Linked DNA regions of Stegostoma tigrinum. The protein of the gene in region 2 purifies or fractionates together with the protein of the main gene of each other region. This does not show direct contact. Links are inferred from orthologs where the notes say so. Each region holds a gene or a part of one and is shown on either strand. Other genes may lie near its edges.

What was found. Proteins that work in one complex are often made in the same cells at the same time.
Region 1: the proteins of krr1 (region 2) and ddx18 purify together in Homo sapiens (affinity purification with mass spectrometry; 3 studies listed by BioGRID and IntAct, with this or other methods). This does not show direct contact. The link is inferred for Stegostoma tigrinum from reciprocal best matches to the Homo sapiens genes KRR1 and DDX18.

What each region holds. Positions count from the first base shown.
Region 1 is NC_081360.1:68,634,399-68,642,203, reverse strand, and holds the start of ddx18 (ATP-dependent RNA helicase DDX18), read left to right. Parts: upstream 1-4,800; 5' UTR 4,801-4,947; coding exon 4,948-5,074; intron 5,075-6,263; coding exon 6,264-6,443; intron 6,444-7,805. UniProt on the Homo sapiens protein: ATP-dependent RNA helicase that plays a role in the regulation of R-loop homeostasis in both endogenous R-loop-prone regions and at sites of DNA damage.
Region 2 is NC_081371.1:47,150,035-47,157,211, reverse strand, and holds the start of krr1 (KRR1 small subunit processome component homolog), read left to right. Parts: upstream 1-4,166; 5' UTR 4,167-4,233; coding exon 4,234-4,288; intron 4,289-7,177. UniProt on the Homo sapiens protein: Part of the small subunit (SSU) processome, first precursor of the small eukaryotic ribosomal subunit.

The DNA.
Region 1 (7,805 bases), on a different chromosome or scaffold from region 2:
TAAGATTTGTTTTGACAATGGACTAGAATTCCAGAGACCTAGGCTAATATACACAGGATAAACTCCATCCCTGGCAACTGGTGCCATTTAAATTTGAATTAATACATTTGGAATTAGTCTTAGTAATAGTGACCCTGAAATTAATTTTGTTTGCTAATTATTAAAAACCCAAGATAATAAAATGTGAGGCTGGATGAACACAGCAGGCCAAGCAGCATCTCAGGAGCACAAAAGCTGACGTTTCGGGCCTAGACCCTTCATCAGAGAGGGGGATGGGGGGAGGGAACTGGAATAAATAGGGAGAGAGGGGGAGGCGGACCGAAGATGGAGAGTAAAGAAGATAGGTGGAGAGGGTGTAGGTGGGGAGGTAGGGAGGGGATAGGTCAGTCCAGGGAAGACGGACAGGTCAAGGAGGTGGGATGAGGTTAGTAGGTAGCTGGGGGTGCGGCTTGGGGTGGGAGGAAGGGATGGGGGAGAGGAAGAACCGGTTAGGGAGGCAGAGACAGGTTGGACTGGTTTTGGGATGCAGTGGGTGGGGGGGAAGAGCTGGGCTGGTTGTGTGGTGCAGTGGGGGGAGGGGATGAACTGGGCTGGTTTAGGGATGCAGTGGGGGAAGGGGAGATTTTGAAACTGGTGAAGTCCACATTGATACCATATGGCTGCAGGGTTCCCAGGCGGAATATGAGTTGCTGTTCCTGCAACCTTCGGGTGGCATCATTGTGGCAGTGCAGGAGGCCCATGATGGACATGTCATCAAGAGAATGGGAGGGGGAGTGGAAATGGTTTGCGACTGGGAGGTGCAGTTGTTTGTTGCGAACTGAGCGGAGGTGTTCTGCAAAGCGGTCCCCAAGCCTCCGCTTGGTTTCCCCAATGTAGAGGAAGCCGCACCGGGTACAGTGGATGCAGTATACCACATTGGCAGATGTGCAGGTGAACCTCTGCTTAATGTGGAATGTCATCTTGGGGCCTGGGATGGGGGTGAGGGAGGAGGTGTGGGGACAAGTGTAGCATTTCCTGCGGTTGCAGGGGAAGGTGCCGGGTGTGGTGGGGTTGGAGGGCAGTGTGGAGCAAACAAGGGAGTCACGGAGAGAGTGGTCTCTCCGGAAAGCAGACAGGGGAGGGGATGGAAAAATGTCTGGGGTGGTGGGTGTCGGATTGTGAATGGCGGAAGTGTCGGAGGATAATGCGTTGTATCCGGAGGTTGGTAGGGTTCACCTGCACATCTGCCAATGTGGTATACTGCATCCACTGTACCCGGTGCGGCTTCCTCTACATTGGGGAAACCAAGCGGAGGCTTGGGGACCGCTTTGCAGAACACCTCCGCTCAGTTCGCAACAAACAACTGCACCTCCCAGTCGCAAACCATTTCCACTCCCCCTCCCATTCTCTTGATGACATGTCCATCATGGGCCTCCTGCACTGCCACAATGATGCCACCCGAAGGTTGCAGGAACAGCAACTCATATTCCGCCTGGGAACCCTGCAGCCATATGGTATCAATGTGGACTTCACCAGTTTCAAAATCTCCCCTTCCCCCACTGCATCCCTAAACCAGCCCAGTTCATCCCCTCCCCCCACTGCACCACACAACCAGCCCAGCTCTTCCCCCCCACCCACTGCATCCCAAAACCAGTCCAACCTGTCTCTGCCTCCCTAACCGGTTCTTCCTCTCCCCCATCCCTTCCTCCCACCCCAAGCCGCACCCCCAGCTACCTACTAACCTCATCCCACCTCCTTGACCTGTCCGTCTTCCCTGGACTGACCTATCCCCTCCCTACCTCCCCACCTACACCCTCTCCACCTATCTTCTTTACTCTCCATCTTCGGTTCACCTCCCCCTCTCTCCCTATTTATTCCAGTTCCCTCCCCCCATCCCCCTCTCTGATGAAGGGTCTAGGCCCGAAACGTCAGCTTTTGTGCTCCTGAGATGCTGCTTGGCCTGCTGTGTTCATCCAGCCTCACATTTTATTATCTTGGAATCTCCAGCATCTGCAGTTCCCATTATCTCTGATACTATTAAAAACCCATCTGGTTTCTAAATAAAAAAATGTCATTCTAACCTGGCTTGGCCTATAAGTTATTTCAGACACACAATGGTCAACTCTTAACTGCTCTCTGTAATGCTCTCACAAGCCACTTACTCCGAGGACAATTAGGGATGGGCATCAAATGTCCCTGAAAGAATAAAAAATAAGACACTCTCCTTGCTTTTTGGGTGCAATCAACAGTATCCAGTGATGGTTCAGATTCCTCAATCTAAGGCTGCCTGACACCACATTTCAAGGGTAAATGGGATGAATTGGTGGTCTTCTGTAAAGAGAGTACCAGAGTCATCCTGGATACATTTATGAGTTGAGAATTTGATTTTTCATTAAGATGCCCAGTAGATCCCTGAAGACTGAGGTTATCCAATCTCCTTGAAAGAATAAAAGAACAACTTATAATCTAAATGAAGAGAAACTTCAAAATGCTTTGGAGCAGAGAGATCTGGGTGTCTGAGGTTATCCACTTTGGTCACAAAAACAGGAAGGCAGATTATTTTCTGAATGGTGGCAGTTTAGGAAAAGATGGGGTGCAACAGGGCCTTCGTGTCACAGTGGAATGGTCGCTGAAGTTTGGCATGCAGGTGCAGTAGGCAATGAGCAAAGCTAATCACATGCTGACCTTCATAGTGAGAGGATTTGAGTGTCAGAGTAAGAACGTCTTGCTGCAGTTATAGAGAGCCTTGGTGAGGCCACACCTAAGTACTGTGTGCAGTTTTTGTCTCCCAGTCTGAGGAAGGACATTCTTGCTTTTGAGGGAGTCCAGCGAAGGTTCACCAGACTGATTCCCAGGATGGCAGGACTGACATATCGAGGAAAGACTGGATTGATTGGGCTTGTACTCACTGGAATTTAGAATAATTGGGGGGGGGGTGGGGAAATTCTCATAGACATATAAAATCCTGATGTTACTGGACAGCCTAGATGTGGGAAGAATGTTCCTGATGTTGGGGAAGTCCAGAACTAGAGATCATAGACTAAGAATAAGTGGTAAGCCATTCAGGACTGAGATGAGGAAGAAGTTCTTCACTCAAGAGTTGTGAGCCTGTGAAATTCTCTCCCAGTTGGGGCCAGTTCATTAGATATATTCAAGAGGGTGCTAGACATGGCCCTTGCTGTTAAAGGGATCAAGGGCTATGGAGAGAAAGCAAGTTTGGGACACTGAAATTGCATGATCAGCCATGATTATATTGAAAAGTGTTGCAGACTCAAAGAGCTCAATGGTCTACTCCTATACTTACCTTCTATGTAATAAGTAGGATAAATGGAATTTAGGCAATTACTGTGCAAGAAATGGGGTATAAAAGCAGGGAAGTGTTATTGTAATTGTCCAAGGCAATGATGAGATTACATCTGGAGTGTGGAGTACAAAAAGAACTTAACCTCTTTAACAAGTGCTAGCCGTGCTTCTAGAATTCCTAGTTTAATTGCGGAACCCTCTACATTCTCAGTTTCCATATTGCAGATTCTCTATGCACCTGAAATAATCTGATAAAGGTGGCTAATATCTTGATAAATGCCTGATCAAATCGCTTCTCACCATGTCGCCCACACTCATAAAAAAGGGCCTAAGGCAGCCATTCACTCTGCAACTATGCAGTAGCAACATGAGTAGAATTCTATCAAACAAGTGACTATGGTGGTGTACGATTTCCAGTGTCAGTATGATGTAATGTTATGTAGGTCAAAGATTCCAAAGGCTGACAGGTCATATCAAACAGTACATCATTTTGTTGCTTGCAGGAAGCAAGTTACAATACATCGTACAAGACATTGGTAGGGCCACAGTTGTAGTATTGCATACAATTCTAGGGTAAAAAATATAAAAGATGTTCCTGAGACTGTAAGGTTTGAGTAGAGAGTCTATGACAATTTTCCCCTGGAGCATAGGACACTGAGGGATGATTTTATAGAGGTTTAGAAAAATCATGAGGGGTATAGCTAAGGTGGATAGCCAAGGAAATTTTCATGAGAGTAGGAGAGTCCAAAACAAGAGCACACAGGGTTAAAAGTGAGACAGCAAAGACATAAAAGGGACCGGAAGGGCACCTTTTCCCCCCCACACAGTGGATGGCAGGTATATGGAACCAGCTGTCACAAGTTGTGGTAGAGTACAATTACATTTTTTTAAAAACTGAAGTACCTGAATAAGATAATAAAATGTGATGCTGGATGAACACAGCAGGCCAAGCAGCATCTCAGGAGCACAAAAGCTGACGTTTCGGGCCTAGACCCTCCATCTCTCACATTTTATTATCTTGGAATGCTCCAGCATCTGCAGTTCCCATTATCTCTGATACCTGAATAAGAAGAGTTTAGAGGGATATGGGCCAAATAGGACGAGTTCGGTTTAGGAAACCTGGTCGGCATGAACGATCACGGATAACAAAGTGCGGAGCTGGATGAACACAGCAGGCCAAGCAGCATCTCAGGAGCACAAGAGCTGACATTTCGGGCCTAGACCCTTCACGAAACATCAGTTTTTGTGCTCCTGAGATGCTGCTTGGCCTGCTGTGTTCATCCAGCTCCGCACTTTGTTATCTTGGATTCTCCAGCTCTGCAGTTCCCATTATCTCTGATCACAAATGGATCTGTTATTACAGATGCTCCAAATCACAAACCCTCAAAATCAGGGGGCCGCTTTTTATCGCTTACCCCTCCCTACACAGTGTGACTTCCACGGAAATTACTTCCGGATTCACTGATCCATTACTGCGCCTGCGCGATATGTAGGTGCCTAAATATGTCGCCAAGAGATTCGAACCTGAATCTCATTGAAAAGCTTCTGCGATATAATCTCATGCTGAGGTTTTATTTTAGCAGAATGATTTGATGATACTGGCTGTTTCCTGCTAGTGGGCATTTCCATAGCCACCCCGCTTTCCCGCCCCCGCCCCCAAAACCAATGTGTGGGTCCTCATCGTTCACATGCTGTGTTAAGATGGCGGATCTTCAAATGAAAATTATCCGCAAAAAGTTGCAAAAGAAAAACGCCAAAATTAAACGGATCAATTCAGCGGTGGGAGAAAAAGGTGAGTGTGAGGCGGGCAGAGGGGGCGAGTTGAGGTTGAAAATCTTAATGTGAGTGAATGTGAGCTTGCCTTCATGGTCACACAGCATGGAAACAGAGACTTGGGTCCAACCAGTCTTTGCTGACTATGTTCCCAAACTAAACTTGTTTCACGTGCCTGCGCCTGGCCCTTTTCCCTTCAAACCTTTCCTATTAATGAATTTATCCAAATGTCTTTTAACCGTTTTAACTATCCCTGTGTTCACCACTTCCTCTGACAGTTCATTTGCAAGTTCGAACCACTCTTTTTGTGTTTAAAAAAAAGTAGCCCCTCGTGTCCTTTTTTTAAATCTTTCTCCTCTTACCTTAAATATATACCCTTTGTTTTGAACTTTCCCACCTTAAAGTCTTTGCTACTCATTTATGTTATTTGTGATTTTATATCACCCCTCAACCTCCCAGCCCCCCCCCCCCCCCCCGTGGAAAAAAATCCCAGCCTATCTTTATAACTCAAGCCCTCCATTCTTGGCAACTTCCAATAAATCTTTTCTGAACCCCTTCCAGTTTAATAATACCCTTCCTATAACAGACCTGCACACAGCACTCTAGAAGCGGCATCACTTAACATCCCTTGCAACCGCAACATGATGTCCCAACTTCTTTAGTCAATGGTCTGAGCAATAAATGCCTTCTTAACTGCCCTGTCAAATCTTAAAGAATTATGTACCAGAATCCTTCGGTCTCTGTTCTACAACTCTACCCTGGGCCCTACCATTAATGTGTAAGTTCTCTGCTCATCAGCTCTCACTACCAGCCCACCCTGTTCACTCCCAACTTGTTCCTGCATTTGCTCACCCCTCCCCCAAATCACCTTCTCCACATTCACTCCCCACCCTCACCACTCCATTCACCCTTCAGATCAGCCATGTTCTTGTTCAGTGGCAGAGCAGACTATATTTCAAAAACAATGTTACTTGTGGATTGTAAAGTAATTTGGAATGAGCTGAGATCAGTGAAAGAGCAGTGCAAGATTTTATGCTGTTTGTGGAGTTGGTTCATTTATATTTAAATTGTAGTTCCATAATATCAGAATTCTAGATTGTTTGTTTACCTCTAACCAAGTAAAAGTTCTGACTCTGTGTACGACTCTGATGCATGCACCTGGTCTGAACTTGGACTGTATATGAACAAATTAAGTTTTCTGTTGACAGTGGTCAAACAAAAGAATGTGGAAAATGAAACACTGCAAGAGTCAATAGGTGATCAAGAAAGCACTCCAAAAGAATTGAAAGAAGAACAAAGGCTTACGAAGGATGAAAGCGAACAAAAACCAGTATCAAATATCAAAAAGAAAAACAAAAGAAAGCTTGCAACTAAAATTCAGGAAACTGGTAAATTTGCTTTGAGTACTTTAGTAATGCACGTGCAGTAGTTTGTCAGATTTGAGTACAGCTGGAGTATTGGTGAAAATATAAGCTGGTGGAGCTTTTCATTTTGCATTCATTGAGATAGAATACCAAATTTCAGTGGTGGAAAAAGACATTTTATGCTACATGAGAAACATCAACATGTGCAAATGCTGAGGCCCTGATTGCCAATGAAGCTAATTTGTAGTACATAGAGATGCTAGAATCATAAAGTGTATTTTGACCAGTGAAGGTGGGCTCGTGGTTCTGTGCTTTTCAAATTTTTTTTTTTCCCCCACTGTGACCTGTTTCACAGTTTGAAAGTTATGACATGAACCTGGTTGGTGTTGAGGAACTGAGAGTCAGAAGAAGGGGTCTCAGTTTTTCAGGGATTATTACAATCCTATCTTTTCACTTGCTTTTTTGTTGGGAAAAGAATTGGGTGCCGAAAAGCTCTGTTAGGCCATGCCCATGATTTCAATGACAGGATTTAAGATGGACTCACAGCCGGTGTTCCCTCTAATTAGTTCTCTTCTGCATGGACTCCCTGAATCCGTGTGCAACATCAGTCCCTAGAGCCAGAATTCCATGCTGCAGTCTGCGTCACCACCACAATCACAGTGTGTGGAACATCACAGTTGTTAAAGGAAATGTTGTTCAGAGCTGTTAACACTTGGCCTGAAGCTTCATGGCAGGCGTTGCTGGTTGAAGCTCATTACCCCAGAGATTGGGATGCCTTGTGGTAAATCGTAGAGAATCCATTAGTGGATTTCGCAATTACGACATACAGAAATAGAGTCTGTTAGACTGCTCCATTTCAAACATGAAATTGTGCCCATTAAGGTGTGTGTAGATTGCAGATTCAAATATAACAAATTTATTAGAAACGTGCAAGAAGCAAGTGTTATTCCACCGAAACAACTAGTTTTTTTTTGCAAGCTAACTCAAATTTTAGTAATGGCTAGCACTAAAGATGATTCTATGACATTAGTTCAGGCACATATTGTGTTGAAGCTGAAATCAACTGTGTAGGTATCTCGGTTCATAAATTCAGTTAGCACAGATTCAGGCAGTGACGGCATGTCTAGATATGCTAGGATATGGTGTTGCCGCCTAAATGCCTTCGGCTTCCTTGAGCGGCACATTAGTGAATGTGCTAGCAGTGTCCACTGAGCACATGGATGTGGTATTGCTTTCGATATGTAGGTCTACTGTAGTTTTGTGGTGAAGACATCATCTTCATGTATTTGGAAAAGTTGCTCAGAACTGGTTGTACCAAGTCACTTAATTTAGCCAATTTATGAGCAATAATTGCTATCCTAGTTAGTAATACTACTATCCCATGCA
Region 2 (7,177 bases):
AAATGCTGCCTGGCCAATGACACCCTCATCCTGTGAATGAATAAAAAAAAACCTTTCCACTGGCAATCCATTCCAAACACACTCCACCCTCTGTGTGTTAAAGTTGCCCCTTACATCCCTTTTAAATCTTTCCCTTCTCACCTTAAACCCAGCCCGTCTAGTTTTGGAATCCCTGCCGTAAGAAAAAGACATTGGTTAGTCAGCCTATCCACACCCCTCATGATTTTATAAACCTCGATAAGAGCCGTCTCAGCCTCCGCTACCCCAGGACCATTGACTCCTGTAAGAATTTTGGATGCTTCACAATCCTGGTGTCCTTTTTGACCAGCCAAAGAATTACTTCCATATTATAATGTCCCTTAACATCCCCATGCTTCAGCCCATGAAACCTTCATCCATAGGTCAGTTACCTCCAGATGGATATTGCAATACCCTGGCTGACCTCCTATGATTGTAAACTTCAGCTCACCTACCCGTGTCCGATCTCACACCAAGTAAAATTGACCTTCTATCCTGACCTAACAAACCTGTTTTATTTAAATAATGAATTGAGTTTAAAACTGCTATCCTTAGTTTCAATTCTGTCAATAGCTTCTGCGTTCCCTATTTCTGAATCTCAACATTTTTAATTGTCACTCCTGAACTTAAAAGAGATCTTTGGGGAGAGAAATCCAGATTTTCACTCCTCTTCATGTGAAAACGAGTTTCCTGACATTGCATCTGAAGGACCTGGCTCAAATTTTAAGATTATGCTCCTTCAGTCTGAGTTAACATTTTAGGTTCAGTAACCCTTTCTGCACAACATTCTGAAGAAAGGTCACTGGCGCCAAAACATTAGCTCTACTTTCTCACCACAGATGCTGCCAGACCTGCTGTGTTTTTCCAGCTTCTGTTGTTAAGGTGATCCTTATTTCTCTTCTGGTCAGCACACTGCTTCAGTCATCTTTCTCTAGATGCTTCCACTGGGTAGTAAGAGGCACAAAAGTGGTTGGTTCACTCAAAGTATTTGACTTTTCAGTTAAATCTCACATCTTACAACAACTATTGAATAAAAACCGAAAGAGCTGCGGACGCTGTAAGTCAGGAACAAAAACAGAGTTGCTGGTAAAGCTCAGTATATCTGGCAGCATCTGTGAAGAAAAATGTCAGAGTTAATGTTTAGGGTCTAATTACCCTTTCTCAGAACTGATGGGAGCTGGGAAAATGTCAGTGTATATGCAGGAAATAGGGACGGGGTGGGGTATAGAGAAAACAATAGGATAGAGCTGAAAGAGAGAGATGAACAGTTGGACAGATAAAGGAGTTGATAATGATCTGGTTAGGAGGGTCAATAGTTGTTAATGGGGACTGTTAGTGACAAACAACAGGCTGTGTGTAATGGCAGGCTATGTGATAACAGGGCCTGATGTGTGAGGTAGGGGGCAGGGACATGGGAGAGTTTAGACCCTGAAATTATTGAACTCGATATTGAGTTAGGAGGGCTGCAGGGTCCCCAAGCGGAAAATGAGGCGTTGTTCTTCCAGCTTGCGCTGAGCTTTGCTGAAACACTGTAGGAAACAACTATTGAAGGTCATGTTCTTCACGTTTACAGGGAGTTTTAACTGCAAAGAAAATAACAAGCTACTCCTCCCAGCTGGGGAAAAACTGAACACTTCTCTCTTTCTGTAACTTATTCCCAGTTCTAAGTTGTTACCTGTTAGCAGCAAAAATGCCTCTGTCATCAATAACAGTTTACTAGTCCATAGATTAACCAAATTCTTGTTGCCAAAAGTTGCATCAGCACTGTCCTCAGCCTCAAATCATTGAATCTGATAAAAGAGAATCCCTACTGCATGTAAGCAACCTATTTGGCCTATCAGGTCCACACTAGCATTCTGAAGAGCATCCCACCCAGGGGCACCCAGCCCCATCCTTGTAACCTGCATTTCCTATTAGCCTTAAATCCCTGGACACTATGGGCAATTTAGCAGTTTAGTTTCAACCTGCACATCTTTGGATTGTGGGAGGAAACCCTTCAGAGATTGTGCAAACTACAAGGCAGCCACCTGAGGGTGGAATTGAACCCAGATCCCTCGCATTATAAGGCAGCAGTGCTAACCACTGAACTATCATGCTGCTCTCCCAAACTTCAATTACTGCTTGTTCAACAGTTATTTACACAATGCCTACAATAGTTATTTATTTTCAAAATATACTACCCTTTCAAACATTAATTTTAAAACAACTGTCATTTCAGTCCACAGTATTTTAAAAACAAACACAAAATTTTAAAAAAAGTGATATTGACAGTGAATACTAGTTGTAATTCACAGTATATTTTGATTGCAATCAGTCTTTTACTAAATTTGACTTCTACTGGGATCCTTCCCTTTCCTCAGTTACTCCTCTGTCATGTGATTGATGTATTTGTTGGTCTCTCCCTGCACAGATATTTTTGGAAACTATTGTTCACATGAACAATTTTAGCAAGTATGGTCAGTAGCTATCATTAGTGTGAATTCCTCGTGTGAGGCTGATTTCTTCTCATACTTGCTCCTTCTAATACCTGAAACAGAATACAAATAATGAAACTATCATAAAGTGTTGAAAGATAACCTATGTGAGTTGCTAATGTCCTTTAGGTCTGGCCCATATAAAATTTCGAAATTGCAGCAATGCGGTTGATTCTTTACTGCACTCTGAAATGGTCTAACAGACCATTCAGTTTAAAGGCATTTAGAGATGGACAACTAATACTTGCCTTGCCAGTGACTCCCACTTCTTTTGGAAGAATAATACAAATTTGGGTACATGCTGGCTGTTCAGTTAACTATTGGAATGATGCATGTCTGTTGTACTTGCCTTGTTTTATAAAGATCTATCAGACTTAGACTTGGAGATAGCAAGAACTGCAGATGCTGAAGGCAGAGAAAACACATTGTGAAGCTAGGGGAACACAGCAGGTCAGGTAGTATCAGAGGAGTAGGAAAATTGATTTTTCGGGTCAGGGCCCTTCTTCAGAACTCTTAAAGGGGTTCCAACCCAAAACATCAACTTTCTGATGTTGCCTGACCTGCTGTGTTCCTCCAGTTCCACATTGTGTTGTCTCAGATTTACACTTGACAGGACTTGAACCCTTCAGGACTCAAGAGCCATGTAAGTCATCTTAGTACAAAAGTAAAATATTGCAGATGTTGGAAAACTGAATTAAAAATTGTCAAATGTTGGCTAGGCAGCATCAGTGGTGCAAAAGATGCTGGCTGCCCTGAATAAAAGCATGCTGTTAATTCCACTAATATTCAGGAGAATGGTTTCAGCATTTTAGTTCCAATTCCTGTCAGTAAGAAATCACTGCAAGTACTTGGACTGAAAAATGACCTGATCTATACTAAACTGGAGAGTTAGATGAGCTGAAAGCATGATTGAGTATGCACCCACAATGCCTTGAGGCAGTGCATCCAAATCCTAACCATTTTCTACACAAAAAGGGGTTTCACTTTTTTGTTGCTTTTCTGCCGATCATCTTGTCTTGGTATTCTCTGGATCTCGACCTTTGTACGAGTTTCAAGTCTCTATCTACCTTGACTAGTTCCCCTCGTTATTTGTGAACACTTTTATCTAATCTCTCAACCTTCCCTAGGATGGGAAGTACTTTTTGAAGTGTAGGTTTTCTCCTGCTGTTCTGTTCTTCCTGCCAAAGGGACGAGTTCACATTTTCACGCATTAGACTCCATCTGCCAAAGGGAGGTAGTTGCTCTGAGATCTTTCACATCTGCAAGATGTGTCAGCTCTGATAGTGCTGGATGTGGACTGTCAACCTCGATACAGTGGGCCTCCTAACGTGTCAAAAGTCGCCTTTAGAAAGCAGATTTTGGATTTTATATAAAATCTGCGAAGACTGCATCAGTTATGGGCTCAAGACTCTGGATTGGGTCTTGAACCTATCAATTCTCCTGTTTCCGACGCAACATAATAGCCACAGAAAAAATTATTTTTAATAAACTTCACAACAAGACGTCGACGGGATCCATAAACTGCCGGCTGCTGTCACCCAAATAACATCCAGCGCCATACTGCAAGCAGTGTCCGTTTTTTTTGGGGGGGGGAGGCATAGAGTGGCGGACCGGCGGAAGTGTGTCCGTGGGGGGAGGTATTGAGTGGCGGACCGGCGGAAGTGTGTCCGTGGGGGGAGGTATTGAGTGGCGGACCGGCGGAAGTGTGTCCGTGGGGGGAGGTATTGAGCGCCGGGCCGCCATGGAGGTCGCTCCTGGTCCAAGGAGAGCCGGTAAAAATGATGATAAAGATAAAGGTAAATGAAGAATTGGAGGAGGTCAGGTCTGCGGCGGGGTTGGGGAGGATTTCTGAACCAAAAAAAAACATACAAAGAGTTGTGGAAATCTGAAGTAAAAACCAAATTGCTGGAGAATCTGAGGTAACAAGGTGTAGAGCTGGAGGAGCCGAGCAGGAAGGCTGATGGTTCGGGCCTCGACCCACCTTCAGAAACTGAGCTCGAGGAGCTCACCAGGTTTCTGGCAGCATCTGTGGTGAGAGAAACAAAGTTAGTGTTTCGGGCCCAGTGACTCTCCTTCGGAATTTCAGTGATTTCTGTTTTTGTTGGGGATTTCTGAAGCCGGCCTGGCCTTGGGGGAGGCTCCATTTGTGGGTTAGGTTGGGTCCGGGGCGGGGGGGATGCGTAGACCCGGTGGACGAAGATTTTGTGAAGTCTTTGTTGCCGTTTACTTTATCCTGATTCGGAAGTTGATTCCTGAAATGTTCCTGAGCAGAGTCACTCGTTTTAACGAGCTTCTCCATCACTCCGCGACCTAAACTGCTGCCAAACCAGGTTTCCGCTTAAAAATTACCCTCATTTGTCACTATACTTACTGTCCAGATCCTAAAATTTTTGATCTTGTCGTGCTGGCATTGATATTTCTCACCATCACTTTAAATAAGTGCCCTTATTTAAAGGGGACAATTTCTTCAATTTACCCTGCCCAGACTGCTCTTGAATTTGAACACCTTGGTGAAATTTCTCCTCAACTTAACAGCCTAAGCATTTCCAGTCTTTATTCATTATTCTTCATGAGCAGGTACCATTGGTAAGGCCAACGTTTGTTGCACCTCCTTTGAATTGCTTGAAGTAGTATATGAATCAGAACAGGAGTAGGCCATTCAGCTATTCAAACCTATTCTGCCATTTAATGAGATCATAGCTTTCTGATTGAAACCTCATTCACATTCACAGTTACAACTGACAGCCTTTCAATTCCTTGCAGAACAACAAACTCTCTACCTCTATCTTAAAAATAGTCAAGGAATCTGCTTCACTGCCTTTTCAGGAAGAGAGTTCTGGCGAGACATGACCTCTGAGAGGCCAGTTAAGAATCGACCACATTACTCCAAGGCACATGTAGGCCTGATTGGGTAAGGATGTTAGTGAACCAGATGTGTTTTTACAACAATTGATTAGTTCTCTGGTCACCATTACTGAGACCAGCTTATAATTCCAAATATAACTGCCGAAATTTAAATTCCACCAGGTGCCACTTCGGGATTTGGGCCCATGTCACCAGCACACTGGCCTAGGTCTCTGGATCACTAACCCAGCGATTTAACCGTGACATCACCATCTCCACAGCGCCCCCCCCCCCCACCCAGCTGAATTTCTTCATCCATGAAATCATTCTCATTATTTTTTCCAAACCCTTCACTTCTATTCCAGAACGTGATGCTGAGGATAGGCCATTATACTCCAGTTAAAAGGGAACCAGTGTTTTATAGTGGTTTATCAAAAGTCATGCCAGTGTCAAGACTTCCCATGATAGCCTCTAATGAAGAACCTGCCATCAAAACCACCTTGCTTTTATATTCTGTCTCTCTTATGATTGGCCAAATGGCTTCCTTCTGTGCCATAACTATTATGTGATCATTTGTTCAGTGCGTGTTAATTTTGCCCAGGATTATCAGTTCTAAACTCGTTCCCATCACTCACTTTAAACTGACTGGTCTGTTGTCACTAGATTTATCTTTTACATCCTTTTTGAGCAAGGGTGCAACAGTTGCAGTTATCCAGTATACCTCTGAGATACTCCAGTATTTGTTGAGGTTGAGATTATGGCCAATATCACCTCAGTTTTCTCCACTACTTCCATCATCTATGGATGCATCCTCGTGACTTACCACCTTTTCATCCTTTCTTACTGCATCTCTTTGTCAACATCTGTACGTATCCACGATCCTGCTTAACTCCTCTTTCACTATGACTTTACTAACAGCATCTTCCTTGATAAAGACTGATTCAAAGTATTCTTAGCATTCGTGCTTTAATCCTTAATTAGGTTTTACTCTTCTTACACTTTTACTGCTTGTGTACTTATCAGAAACTTCTGGATTCTTTTCTTTTTCGTTAATTACTAGTTTTTACTTTATTCAATCTCTTTGCTGCACTTCTTTTCTCACTTTACATCTAAACTTTCTAAAATTATCCTGATTTTCACTTCTGTTATTAACCTGATAGTTGTTATGTCATTTTCCGATTGTCAATCTTTTGTAAATTGGGGCCTCTCACTTTTTTTGTACTACTGGTTGGCCCTTGTGGTAATGTGCCACTGGACTGTGTTTTTCTCATCTTTAAGGACAACCCATTGCTACATTGAAGTTTTGCATGCAAATCATTAATCCTAGTTTGTCTGATTTGTATCTGTTCTTGACCCACTGAAACTGTCCCTTGTCCAATTCAGTGTTTATATTTTTAATTGCTCCAGTTTGAACATTTTAATACTATGATTGTGGTTCTCCAAAAGTTCCCTAACTGACATTTGCCCCGACTTATTTCCTGAAGAGTACAGTTGAAGAATCGTACAATACAGAAGAAACTCCATAGCCCATTGAGTTTTCCCAAACACATTTCTGAAATTCTCTTCCCACTCTGCCTTTACTGTCCTCATCTACATGAGGATCAATAATATCCCCTATTACAGGGCTTCTTAAATGGGGTTTGGCACCTTGAACAAAATCATGAGTTCAGGTAGCAATGACCTACATCACTGATCTACACTCTCATTGGTCTTCTCCTCCTCCCTCCTTGCCCACCCCCTACAGCCCACTGAGTCAGATGATCATTTTTAAGCCTTGAAATGGGATCACAGTCGGAATTGGCATTGGAAGCAATGCTTCAGTACAATGACTTCATTGTTCA